3 linked regions of the Ovis aries genome follow. The protein of the gene in region 2 interacts with the protein of the main gene of each other region in a pairwise test. Links are inferred from orthologs where the notes say so. Each region holds a gene or a part of one and is shown on either strand. Other genes may lie near its edges. The genes, in order: GFER, BNIPL and MIF.

Region 1 (4,404 bases), on a different chromosome or scaffold from region 2:
CTCATCTCAGACACACTGGGCAACTCCCTCCTTCCAGTGGCTTGGGCCAGAAGCCTGTAGTCACCTTGGACTCCACCTTCAGAATGTATCCAGTGATGTCTGCCACCCACCCTGGGGTGAGCTTCCCTCTCAGCTGCTGTGGAGTAGGTGTTCCTCCCTACTCTCGGCCACCTCCGCCACATTCCAGCTCAAGTCACACCTTGCCGTCCCTCCGCTCCAGATCCTCCACGATGCATGTTTGGTCAGAGCTGGGTGTCAGAACCACATCCTTACTGGGGCCTTGAGGACCTTCTGTCATTCAACCTCCCCTCCTCTGATCCACTCTCCCTCAGCTCCAGCAACTCAGCCTCCTGTTCCTGAATATCCTAGCCCACCCTGGCCTTGGAAAGGCCCCCTTCTCCTGGGGAGCCAGAACCCAGATAAGGAAGCAGCAGGCCTGTCCGCTGTTGCAAGTCCCAGCACAAAATACGCTGAAGCCAGGGCTTCGGTCATTTCTCCAGCATTTTATTTTGGTCTTGAGTTCCACGGAACCTGTAAGGCCAGAGGCCGGATTGGAGGTGAGCAGCAGAGTTCGGCCCATAAGCCTCTTTCCTGATGTGCAAACAGCGCACAGCCTCCGGGGCTACAGTCACTATCCCATGCTGTCCCTCACTACAAGGTGGGGAGACACTGGCCAGGCCTGAGGGGCGAGATGGTGGTGCCCAGCCAGGCCTGTGGGCTTCCTGTGTGGAGAAGGTGGCAGGGTGGGTGAGCAGGAGGCCAAATCCTGAAGGGAAGGGACGTCCTGGGCTGCCCCTGCCTCCCGTCGATAGCCTCACAGGCCCACAGTGAGGAGGCCACCACTGAGGTGCCTGCATCGGGCTCCTCCACTTCTCCTCTGAACCGGAGAGGGAGAGGGTTCCCAGGGCAGGGTCTGGGGACCACCCAACGGAGACACCACCGGCTCTGTGTGTGATGGCACTTTAATGAGCCCCGCCCCCTCTGGCCGGGCCTCCCCAGGCTCAGCCGCTGGCTAGTCACAGGAGCCATCCTTCCAGCCGTCGCGCCAGCGCTCGTCCACCAGTGAGCAGTCGAAGTCTGGCTTGCCCAGCTTCCGGTTCACCTCGTTGTGCAGACGGCAGAGCCACTGGGTGAAGCTCACCCGAGTGCGCGTGTCTGGCTGGTCCCTGTATATCCTGCGTGAGGGGGAGCACGTGCAGGAGGGGGCAGGCTGTGCTCCCAGCATGCCCGCCCCACCATCTTCCTGGCTTGCCCAATCCAGGGAAGAGAGCTGGGGCCTAGATTTAGGGGTGCCCTCATGCTCTGAGGAATTCCCAGAAGGGAGCTGACCCTCCAGCCTCAAGTCCCAGTTGACTCTTAGGCCTGCTCCAACCCCTACCTAGGGCACGTGGCAAACCCTGACAAGAGCCCCGGGCAAGACATTAAGGCACAAGGTCTCCACTTTACAGCCTCATAACAATCAGGAGGCCTCACCCTAGCGTCCCTGGCCCCAGGCAGCGTGTGGAGGGGCAGGGCTGGAATAAAGGCCTACCTGAAAACCAGGTCTGCTTCTTCACACCTTTGGCCCTACCACACCACCTCAGCAAGAGACCTCGTATAAATAAATGCCCAGGCTCCAAACAGCAAGGGCTGCCCTTTTTACCCCACAGCCAGCCCAGAAATGCTTATGGCTGCCAAACAACAGTTCTTGGGCTCCCCAAAAAGGTGGCTCTTGGAAGCAAAAGCAGTGAGTTCCCAAGGCCTTGAAACTGAAGGTCCTGCTCCAGAAGCTAGACAGAGTGGAGTCCCTGGAAACCTGCCAGAGTCTTCATCAGTGCAAAGCAAGGGATCTCATGAGAGTAGCCCTCCCGGGGAGGGAACTCCGTGGTTGCAGAAAGCAGCAGCCCCCAGCAGCAGCCCCAGGCCTGGCCTTTAAGGAGAAAGGCGATGGCTCCAGAATCCCTCCGCTGTTGGTGGTCCCTGCTCTAGACAACCCGCTGCCACGACGGCCTCTACTTCTCTAGGCTCCCCTTTATGGCATCTGCCAGGGGCCCCAGACCCAGGCTGCACACTCTGCAGACACGACTCACCTTTTCCTTATGTCTTCGGCACACTCTTCACACGGGTAAAACTTGGAAAATAAATGTATGAACTGGGCCATATCCTGCTGTTGCTCTGGGGTGGGCAGGTCGGGGTAGTAGGCAGCCAGGGTATGGAGGACAGCCCAGCTGTTGCGGCCCAGTTCCTCGCGATCCTGAGGGCAATCCTCCCTAAACTTGCTGTCCCGCTGTGGAAGGAGGCCGACCAAGGGTCAGTTCGGTTTTCCCCGACCAGAAACCTACAAAGTTCCCTATTTTTTTTTTTTCCGCCCCAGCCGGAGACCCACTGACCGGAGAAAAAGTCCTGGGGCCGATCCAGCCCACACATGGCCAAGAGCCAAAAGGCTGGGCCTACCTTGGGGGCACGGTTAGGAAGCGCCGACCCCCGGGGAGGGGGCGGGGAGCCTGTCCAGGGTGCCCGAGGACAAGGTGTGGGGGCCCCCCTACGCCTGCACCTTCTGCTGCGTGCGCATCCACGACTTGAAGTCCACGCAGGCCCGGCAGGGCCACCGCGGGGAGGCGAGCTCGGAGGCCGGAGGGTCGGACGCCGGCCCCGCGGATGGCGCCCGGGCCGAAGCAGCGGCTTTTCTCCCACCCGCGCCGCGGCCGCGCGCGTCCGTCACCAGGTCGTCCGTCACCTCGGAGCGCGCGCCGCCAGGAAGGAAGATCCCAGTGCCGAAGCGGCCGCGCTCGCTGGGCGCCGCCATGCCGCCCGCGCAGTGCCTGCCGGGCCAGCGCAGCCGCCACGACCGCAACCAGGCGGGCTCCAGGCCAGCGCGCGCGCCGCCGCCGCCAGAGCGCGACCGCAGAAGCCGGGCGCGCGCGCCGCGGACGCGGAGCTGGGCCCGGGGGCGGGGCCCGGTGCGGGGGCGCGGCTGGCGGCCCGGGTCCGCGCCCCGGGAGATGCAGGAGTGCGAACTGGGGACGCGCCGGAGGCCCGAGCCGCGGTTTGCGCGGCGCCGGAGCGCCGAGCCTTAGCCTTGCGCCTGGGCCTCGTTCCACCGCCCGAGCCGGTCTTGTGTCGGCCGTAGCACAGCTCCCGCTTCCTCGAGTATGTCACTGTGTTGTGGATGACGACCCATGGGAGCGACGCGGCTTCGGGCTGCGGCCTTCTGGACCTCCGTGTTGAGGCCCGCGACGGCCTCATCGCTCCGCTCCGACCTTCTCGCGTGCCTGCGGCTTGGCTCTGTGCCCTCCGCTGGGGGCGCGCCCGGGACCGGTGCTTGGCGCCTGGGCAATGCGGGGCGGGGCTGTGAGCGCACAAAGGGCGGTGCAGCTGAAGGTTCGGCGAGTCCGCCTAGGCGACCGGCGCCATCGCCACGGGTGCCCGCCTAGGCTGGGCGGGTCGAGCCTGCAAAGGAGGAGGTGCGTCTCTGGACTCCGGGGAGCACTGAGCAGCCCCTCTCCTCTCTGCTCAGCCCCACAGCCTACCTGAAGGGGTTAAACCCAGGTGGGGCGTGGTCTCAGGGATACCACTGCTTCCATATGTACTTTAATTCCACATGTACATTAATATGCACATTAATTGATTCTGCAAATACCTGTGTAGTGCCTGATCTGTCTTTAGCACTGCTCTAGGCTCTGGACAGGGCCAGGAGCAAGATTCATTCCTCCCTGACCTCCTCAGTCTAGTGGTCGAGACGGAAAAAACAAGAGTCACACTAATAAGTGTTTAGATACAAGCTGTGATGGAGGCTATGAACAGGGTGTGTTAAATCTAGGAGGCCTCCTTGAGGAGTTGACCTTTAGGCAGAGAGGCCTGAAGAATGAGAAATCAGCTGAGGAGGGTTGTCAGAGCCAACGCAGGAGGGAGGAGGAGCTTGACTTCCTGCATGGGCAGAAAGGCCAGTGTGGGACAGGACCTGGGAAGGGTGGTGTGAGCAGAGGTCCTGAGGTGGCCAGGAGCCCACTGAGGACACCATCAACTGACCCAGGAGCTGGGGATGTGTGCTGAGGACCCTGGGACAGTGCTGGGAAGTTTGGGGGAGGGTACCCTGGCCTGATCCCATTTCGGTTTTGCATAGATTCTTCTGGAGAGTGGATTTCACGACAGCAAGTGAGGACCACAGGCTTTGAGGGGGGAGCATGGAGCTGTTGTAGTGGTCCAGGTGAGAGGTGAGGGAGGGAATGTGGAGAGTGTGGAGAGCATCTCAGTTGGGGGGGGTGGGGAACATGGGTCAGCCATGCAGGGAGGGGCTGCAGCGTCCTTCTAGGTCCCTGGCTGTGAGCACACTGGCCCTTCTCCAACTTCTCTGTCTTCCAAGGGAGCAGGAGCCGTCCCACTCTGTACCCTACCAGGCCAGCGGCCCCCACTGAGATTGCCAAG
Region 2 (3,064 bases):
ACAGGTAGTAAATGATAAAGGCAAGATTTGAAACTAGATTTCCTTGACTCCAAGAGAGGACAGAAAATAGGAGAACCTTGGAAAGGGTTGTAGGCGGACAAAGGAAAGTGGAAGAGGGAGTTCCCTGGTGGCCCTAGTGGTTAGGATTCCAGGCTTTCACTGACAGTGCCTGGGGTTCAATCCTTGGTCAGAAAATGAGATCCCAGGGCCAAAAAACAAAAAAGTAGAAGAGACCGAATAGAAGAACAAAATAGAGAGATGAAAGAGAAAAGGATAAGAGAGTTACAGCCCTCTTATCCGAGAGGCTCACCGCCGATCCAGAGTGTGATAACACTGGCGTATCCAGCTCAGAGGTGGAACTTGTGCCCTACTTGTGCCTCCACTCAGGTGAACCAGCAGATAATTTTCAGCTACCAGCAGCTCCAGGGTTCCCACTATGTACCTGGACAGATGGAACTGTCAGGGAAGGTATGCGTTTGGGGTTGTGGGGAGTGAGAGGGACATTGCTGTAGACTTGACAGTCAGTTACTGATCAGAGAAGGGGTGCTTTTTAACATTTCCCTCTATCACATCCACTCTGGAGCCCTTTAAGCCTTCCACCTCACCTGAACAAGTGTTCCATGACATAGGTGTAGTTGGGGATGCTGCTTCTGGGTAGGTAACAGGAAGCAAAGAGGATAACAGCATTGAGGCCATCACCATGGTAGCCTGGGGAGGAGAAGGGGAAAACTCAATAAATAAGTGCTGATGGACAGTACATCTGTTTAGGTTGAGCATCTCTGTGGGTCTCTAGAAGTTGAAGGAAGGATTCTGAACCCAATAACTGAATTTCCAGCTTCAGCATTTTATTCAAGAAGTCACAGTTCTTAACCCTTCACTTATTATAGCCATTACCTCCATGAGATAGGACTTTCTTATAGGGCTCAATGACAGTCATGTCCACTCGCTGCTCCCGCTGTCCTATTCGAAACACCCTCCAGCGATGACCATCTTCTCCAGCCACATCCCACATACAACCGTGGCCCAGCCTTTCTGCTGCCTCACTGGCCCCTAGGCCCTCTGCCCGAGGCAGCTCATCTAAAGAGAGGGATGGGGAAGGATCAACAAGGCAGAATACGTAACTTCAGCATCTTGAAACTTCCTTAGATTCTTAGCGTTTATTACCCCAACAACTAATTCCTCATTTTCCCCCGATGACTAGCCCTGGTTTGTCCAATCAACCCAACCTTCTGCTGATTTCTCTTTCCTGTGACTTATCATCCTCACTTTGTCACTGGACAATGGCCTGGAGGCAACCTTGAACTATGGTAGCTTGATGGCCTCTGCCATTTTCCCAGATTCTTTCTTTCTTCTGATGCTTTTCCTTCCTTCCTTGGGTGAGCTCATTTGTTCCTGTGTCTTCAGTTACTGCCAGTATGGTGATGACTCCTCTCTAACCCAGACTTCTTTCCTGATACCAGACCCATATTCTTGAATGTCTGGAGTGGACACCTCTATTTTGTGTTTCTCTGTCATCTCCAAGTCACCAGACCCCAAGTGCAACTCACACTCTTTCTCTTCCTCCTCTTTCCTATATTCTTTCTTGATGAATGACCCCATCCATTTAACTGTCTGGGAGAGAAAATTCTATGCCATCCAAGACTCTTACTTCTTTACCATCCCTCAAGTCAGATCATCCTCCATCTACTTCCATTAGATTATAAATTATTCTTTCTGCTCTTACTGTCCTGGTATAACGTCTTAGCATTTCTTATCTGGCCTTAGTACTAGCCTTCTATCTCCCTATTCTTATCTGTTTTCCTCCATCCCACCCACCACTGCTAGAGCAAACATTTTTCCCTCCCCTCCCATTTTCACTCAAATAGCAATATTCTATATTCACTAAGTTTTTGCATGATTTTTCCATAGCCATAGAAAGAACTGCTTCATTTTTAAAAATAGTTGCATTCTATCCCATTGCATGGGTGTACAGTAATAGAATTAACATCCTCCTCACAGATCTTTAGGTTGCTTTCAATCTTTTAAAAGCCATTAAACCTGATCATGTTATTCCCTTGATTAAAACTCATTGCCTACAGGATAAAATCTAAGCGCCTTAGTATGGCAGCAGGGACCTCCATAATTTGACCCTTGCCTATTTAACACAGTCTTTTCTCACCCTCTTCACTGCCCAGTCCTTCAGATCTGTAATATAATAATATACATTTTGGTTTTGTTCCTGGCTTCTGACAATAAAGGTGAAAGTAGTATCTTTTCCTATTCATAACAGGTCTCTTTCAACCACACAAGTTTATGTTAATGAGGTGACTTTGGAAAGCTCCTATGGATGGGTGACTGGTTGCCAGGCGAAGTGACCATGATCAGGGGGATGAACTTTTGCCATCTGCCCTCTGAGAAGGGGAGAGAGATTGGAGGTCATGCTAAATCACGCATGGTCAGTGATTTAATCAGTCATGCCCACATATGATGCCTCCATAAAAAAACCCTAACTGAGACTTCCCTGGTGATACGACAGAAAAGAATCTGCCTACCAATGCAAGGAACATGAGTTCAATCCCTGGTCTGGGAAGATTCTACATTCCACAGAGCAACTAAGCCCAACAGCCACAACTCCTGAACCTGCACTCTAGAGCCTGCCCTGCTGCCACTGCTGAGCCCGTGTGCTGCAGCTGCTGAAGCCCGGGTGCCCATAGCCTGTGCGCACTGCAGCTGGAGAGCAGCCTCCACTTGTCCCAACTAGAGAAAGCCCACTCACAGCAATGCAGACCCAGCCCAGGCAAAGAACAATGCTATAAACAAACCCTAACTGAAGGGATTCTGAGAGGTTCCTATTTGGTGATACACAGAGGTACTGGGAGGGTGGTGCTCCCCTTTCACATAACTTGTCCTATGTATTGCTTCCTTCTGGCTGTTTCTGAGCTGTATCCTCTTATAATAAACCTGTAATCTAGTAAGTAAACTGTTTTCCCAAGTTCTGTGAGCTGTTCTAGCAAACTATCAAATCTCAGGAGGGTGTAGTGGGCACCTGTGATTTATCCCCTGTCAGTCAGAAGCACAGGTGATA
Region 3 (2,732 bases), on a different chromosome or scaffold from region 2:
GCACCTCCCCCGCCACCACACCAGACAGTGGCTCCCAAGTTCCAGAACAGGGGGATTTCCCAAATAGCGACACTGAGGTGGGCGGCGGCATCGAGGCAGTGACCCCGACGGAGCCCAGGTTTCTCTCTCCTCCCCTCCGCGCCTCTACTGGGATTCTGACCCCTCCCCCTGTTCCCCCGCCAGCCCCGACCCACGTGGTGGCTGGGCCTCTGCGGGAGGTCGGGGTGGGGAGGGGGGACGGAGGGTTCTGGATCTGAGTTGGATTCCTGGGTCTGGGTGCAGGCAGGATGCCAACCAAGTGAGGGCCCTCTACTGGGGGCTGAGGCGTGGAAAGCTAGGCTGCAGACTCCGGGGATAACACGTCCCGGCCTCGGTTCCACCTTCACCGGCCCCGCCCTGCACCGATTCCTCTGCAAGCCAAAAAGAGCCGAGGCAGCCGGCGTCTCCACACCGTTTATTGCTCCTTCCAGGGAGGCGGGGTTGGTGGGGGCAGGGTGGGAGGGAAACTCGTGCGCGCCAGGGCTGCGGGCCCTGGGAACCCGTGGCGCGTCCCTCAGGCGAAGGTGGAGCCGTTCCAGCCCACGTTGGCCGCGTTCATGTCGCAGAAGTTGATGTAGATCCTGCGAGGGAGGAAGCGACGCTGAGCCGGTCGTGCGGGGGCCGTCGGGGCCGCGCGCCCCCCACCCACCGGCGCCCACGCACCTGTCCGGGCTAATGCGCAGGCGCTCGGTCAGCAGGCCGCACAGCAGCTTGCTGTAGGAGCGGTTCTGCGCGCCGCCGATCTTGCCGATGCTGTGCAGGCTGCAGAGCGCGCAGGGCTCGCTGGAGCCCCCGAAGGTCATGAGCTGGTCTGGGACCACGTGCACCGCGATGTACTGCGGGCGAGGGGCCGCGGTCAGCCGGCTCGCGCGCCCCCGCCTTCCCGGCCCGGGGCCCCATCCCGGAGCCGCCCGCCTTCCCGGCCCGGGGCCCCATCCCGGAGCCGCCCGCCTTCCCGGCCCGGGGCCCCATCCCGGAGCCGCCCGCCTTCCCGGCCCGGGGCCCCATCCCGGAGCCGCCCGCCTTCCCGGCCCGGGGCCCCATCCCGGAGCCGCGCTTCCCGCCTGGCCCTCCCCGCAGACCTGCGCCGGCTTGCCCGTGGCCTGCGCCAGCTGCTGCGTGAGCTCGGAGAGGAGCCCGTCCGGCACGGAGGCGCGGGGCACGTTGGTGTTCACCACGAACATCGGCATGATGGCGAGGGACGGCGGGGACCGGCACGCAGGACCCGACCGACGCGCGCGCCAAGGCAGCCCGGGAACCTGAGCTACGTGACCGCCGCCCGGCGCCCCGCCCAGCCCCGGCCCGACGTGGCCCCGCCTCCCTCGGCGTCACCGCCGGCCCCGCCCCCGGGCGGCGGCGCGCTCCCGGCCGGTGACGTCACCGCCTCTGGCCCCGCGCGCCCCGTCCAAGCCGTTCTCCGCCGGGCGGCCGGAAGTCGGCCGCTCCCTGGTTTGCCAGCCCTTTGGCTTAGTCACAGGGATGTCTGTGTGCTGGGAACAGCGGTTAGCGGGACAGAGGACCCCTGGCCCTCCAGGAGGTCGCAGGCGGAGTCCTTGGGTGTCCGCAGTCTCCAGGGGCACAGTCTTGCGCGCATGCGTGTGTATGTGTGTGCGTGTGTGTCTGTGCGTGTGAGTGATGCAGAGCGGTGGTCATTGCTGCATGTGGGCAGCGCTTGCCACAGCGCGTCGCCATCCAGGGGCCTTCCTGCACCCAGCTCTTGGAGTGGGTGAGATTGCCCGGAGGGGCCCAGGGGAGGGGCTGGGAGCACACGGAGCCCAGAGGCAGTCCGCAAAGCTTCAGTCCACCGGGCTACCTCTCTGCAGCGGTGAAAATGTCAGCTCCTCAGGGAAGCCCACCCCATCAGGTCTTCTGGGGGTGCTGTCTCACAGAGCCCTGGGGGGGAGGTCTCTCAGGGCGCACCCCGTAGGTGCCAGGCATATGAGACGTGGACTAAATACTGGCTGAATGAAGGAGTGAATGAACTTAGCCCTGAGAGGGCAGGAAGAGGGCAGGGCCAGGGCTGAGCCTGCAGGCCCTGCCGTCCCTGAGCAGAAAGGCTGCCCAGCTCCCTCTCTGAGGAGACCTTGGTCACGGGGCTGCGCTGGGGAGCGGAGCTCTGTCGGGCACTGGGGCGGCGTGCTGGTTGGGCCAAGTCTCAGATCTCTCTGGGGAGATCCTGCTCTTGGCCTCTGGCAGGCGTGGTTTGGTTAAGGGGGGCCCCATACATGCTGGCCTGGACATCGGCCCCCATGCCAGTGGGACCAGGTGTACTCAGGCAGGAGGTCCCGTGGCCCAGCTGGGCAGATGCTCTGTAAAAGGCGGGCTCCAGGCCCCTTCCGTCCCTGCTCTTACCCCAGCCGGCCACCTGTGCCCGGGGCTCTGTTAACCACGGATGCCCTCCACGCCCGCCTCGAGCTCGGGGGCTCCCCCGAGCCCCAGCAGGCAAGCCCGCGCAGCCTGTTCTCTATGTCCAAATCCAGGTGCTTGCCTTTCGCCTGTCCCTGACGGCCTGCCAGTGAGATGGACCTTCCTCCACTGTGCTCGGTCCTCGCCCCTCCTGCCCGCCCCGCCCAGTCTCCGTGAGCCGCCGGGGGCAGCGAATCCATACGGTCCTGTGACCTGCCCAGTGATACCTGAAGAGACCCAAGCGACTCCAAGCGGAAGATTCAGCAGCCGGCGCCTGCTTGGCGGTT

The links.
Region 1: the proteins of BNIPL (region 2) and GFER interact in a two-hybrid assay, tested with the Homo sapiens proteins (2 studies listed by BioGRID and IntAct). The link is inferred for Ovis aries from reciprocal best matches to the Homo sapiens genes BNIPL and GFER.
Region 3: the proteins of BNIPL (region 2) and MIF interact in a two-hybrid assay, tested with the Homo sapiens proteins (2 studies listed by BioGRID and IntAct). The link is inferred for Ovis aries from reciprocal best matches to the Homo sapiens genes BNIPL and MIF.

What each region holds. Positions count from the first base shown.
Region 1 is NC_056077.1:2,061,653-2,066,056, reverse strand, and holds GFER (FAD-linked sulfhydryl oxidase ALR), read right to left. Parts: upstream 2,804-4,404; 5' UTR 2,786-2,803; coding exon 2,534-2,785; intron 2,267-2,533; coding exon 2,070-2,266; intron 1,176-2,069; coding exon 1,013-1,175; 3' UTR 484-1,012; downstream 1-483.
Region 2 is NC_056054.1:100,975,274-100,978,337, reverse strand, and holds part of BNIPL (bcl-2/adenovirus E1B 19 kDa-interacting protein 2-like protein), read right to left. Parts: intron 1,078-3,064; coding exon 895-1,077; intron 709-894; coding exon 606-708; intron 443-605; coding exon 311-442; intron 1-310. UniProt on the Homo sapiens protein: May be a bridge molecule between BCL2 and ARHGAP1/CDC42 in promoting cell death.
Region 3 is NC_056070.1:71,339,032-71,341,763, reverse strand, and holds MIF (macrophage migration inhibitory factor), read right to left. Parts: upstream 1,230-2,732; coding exon 1,122-1,229; intron 876-1,121; coding exon 703-875; intron 621-702; coding exon 554-620; downstream 1-553.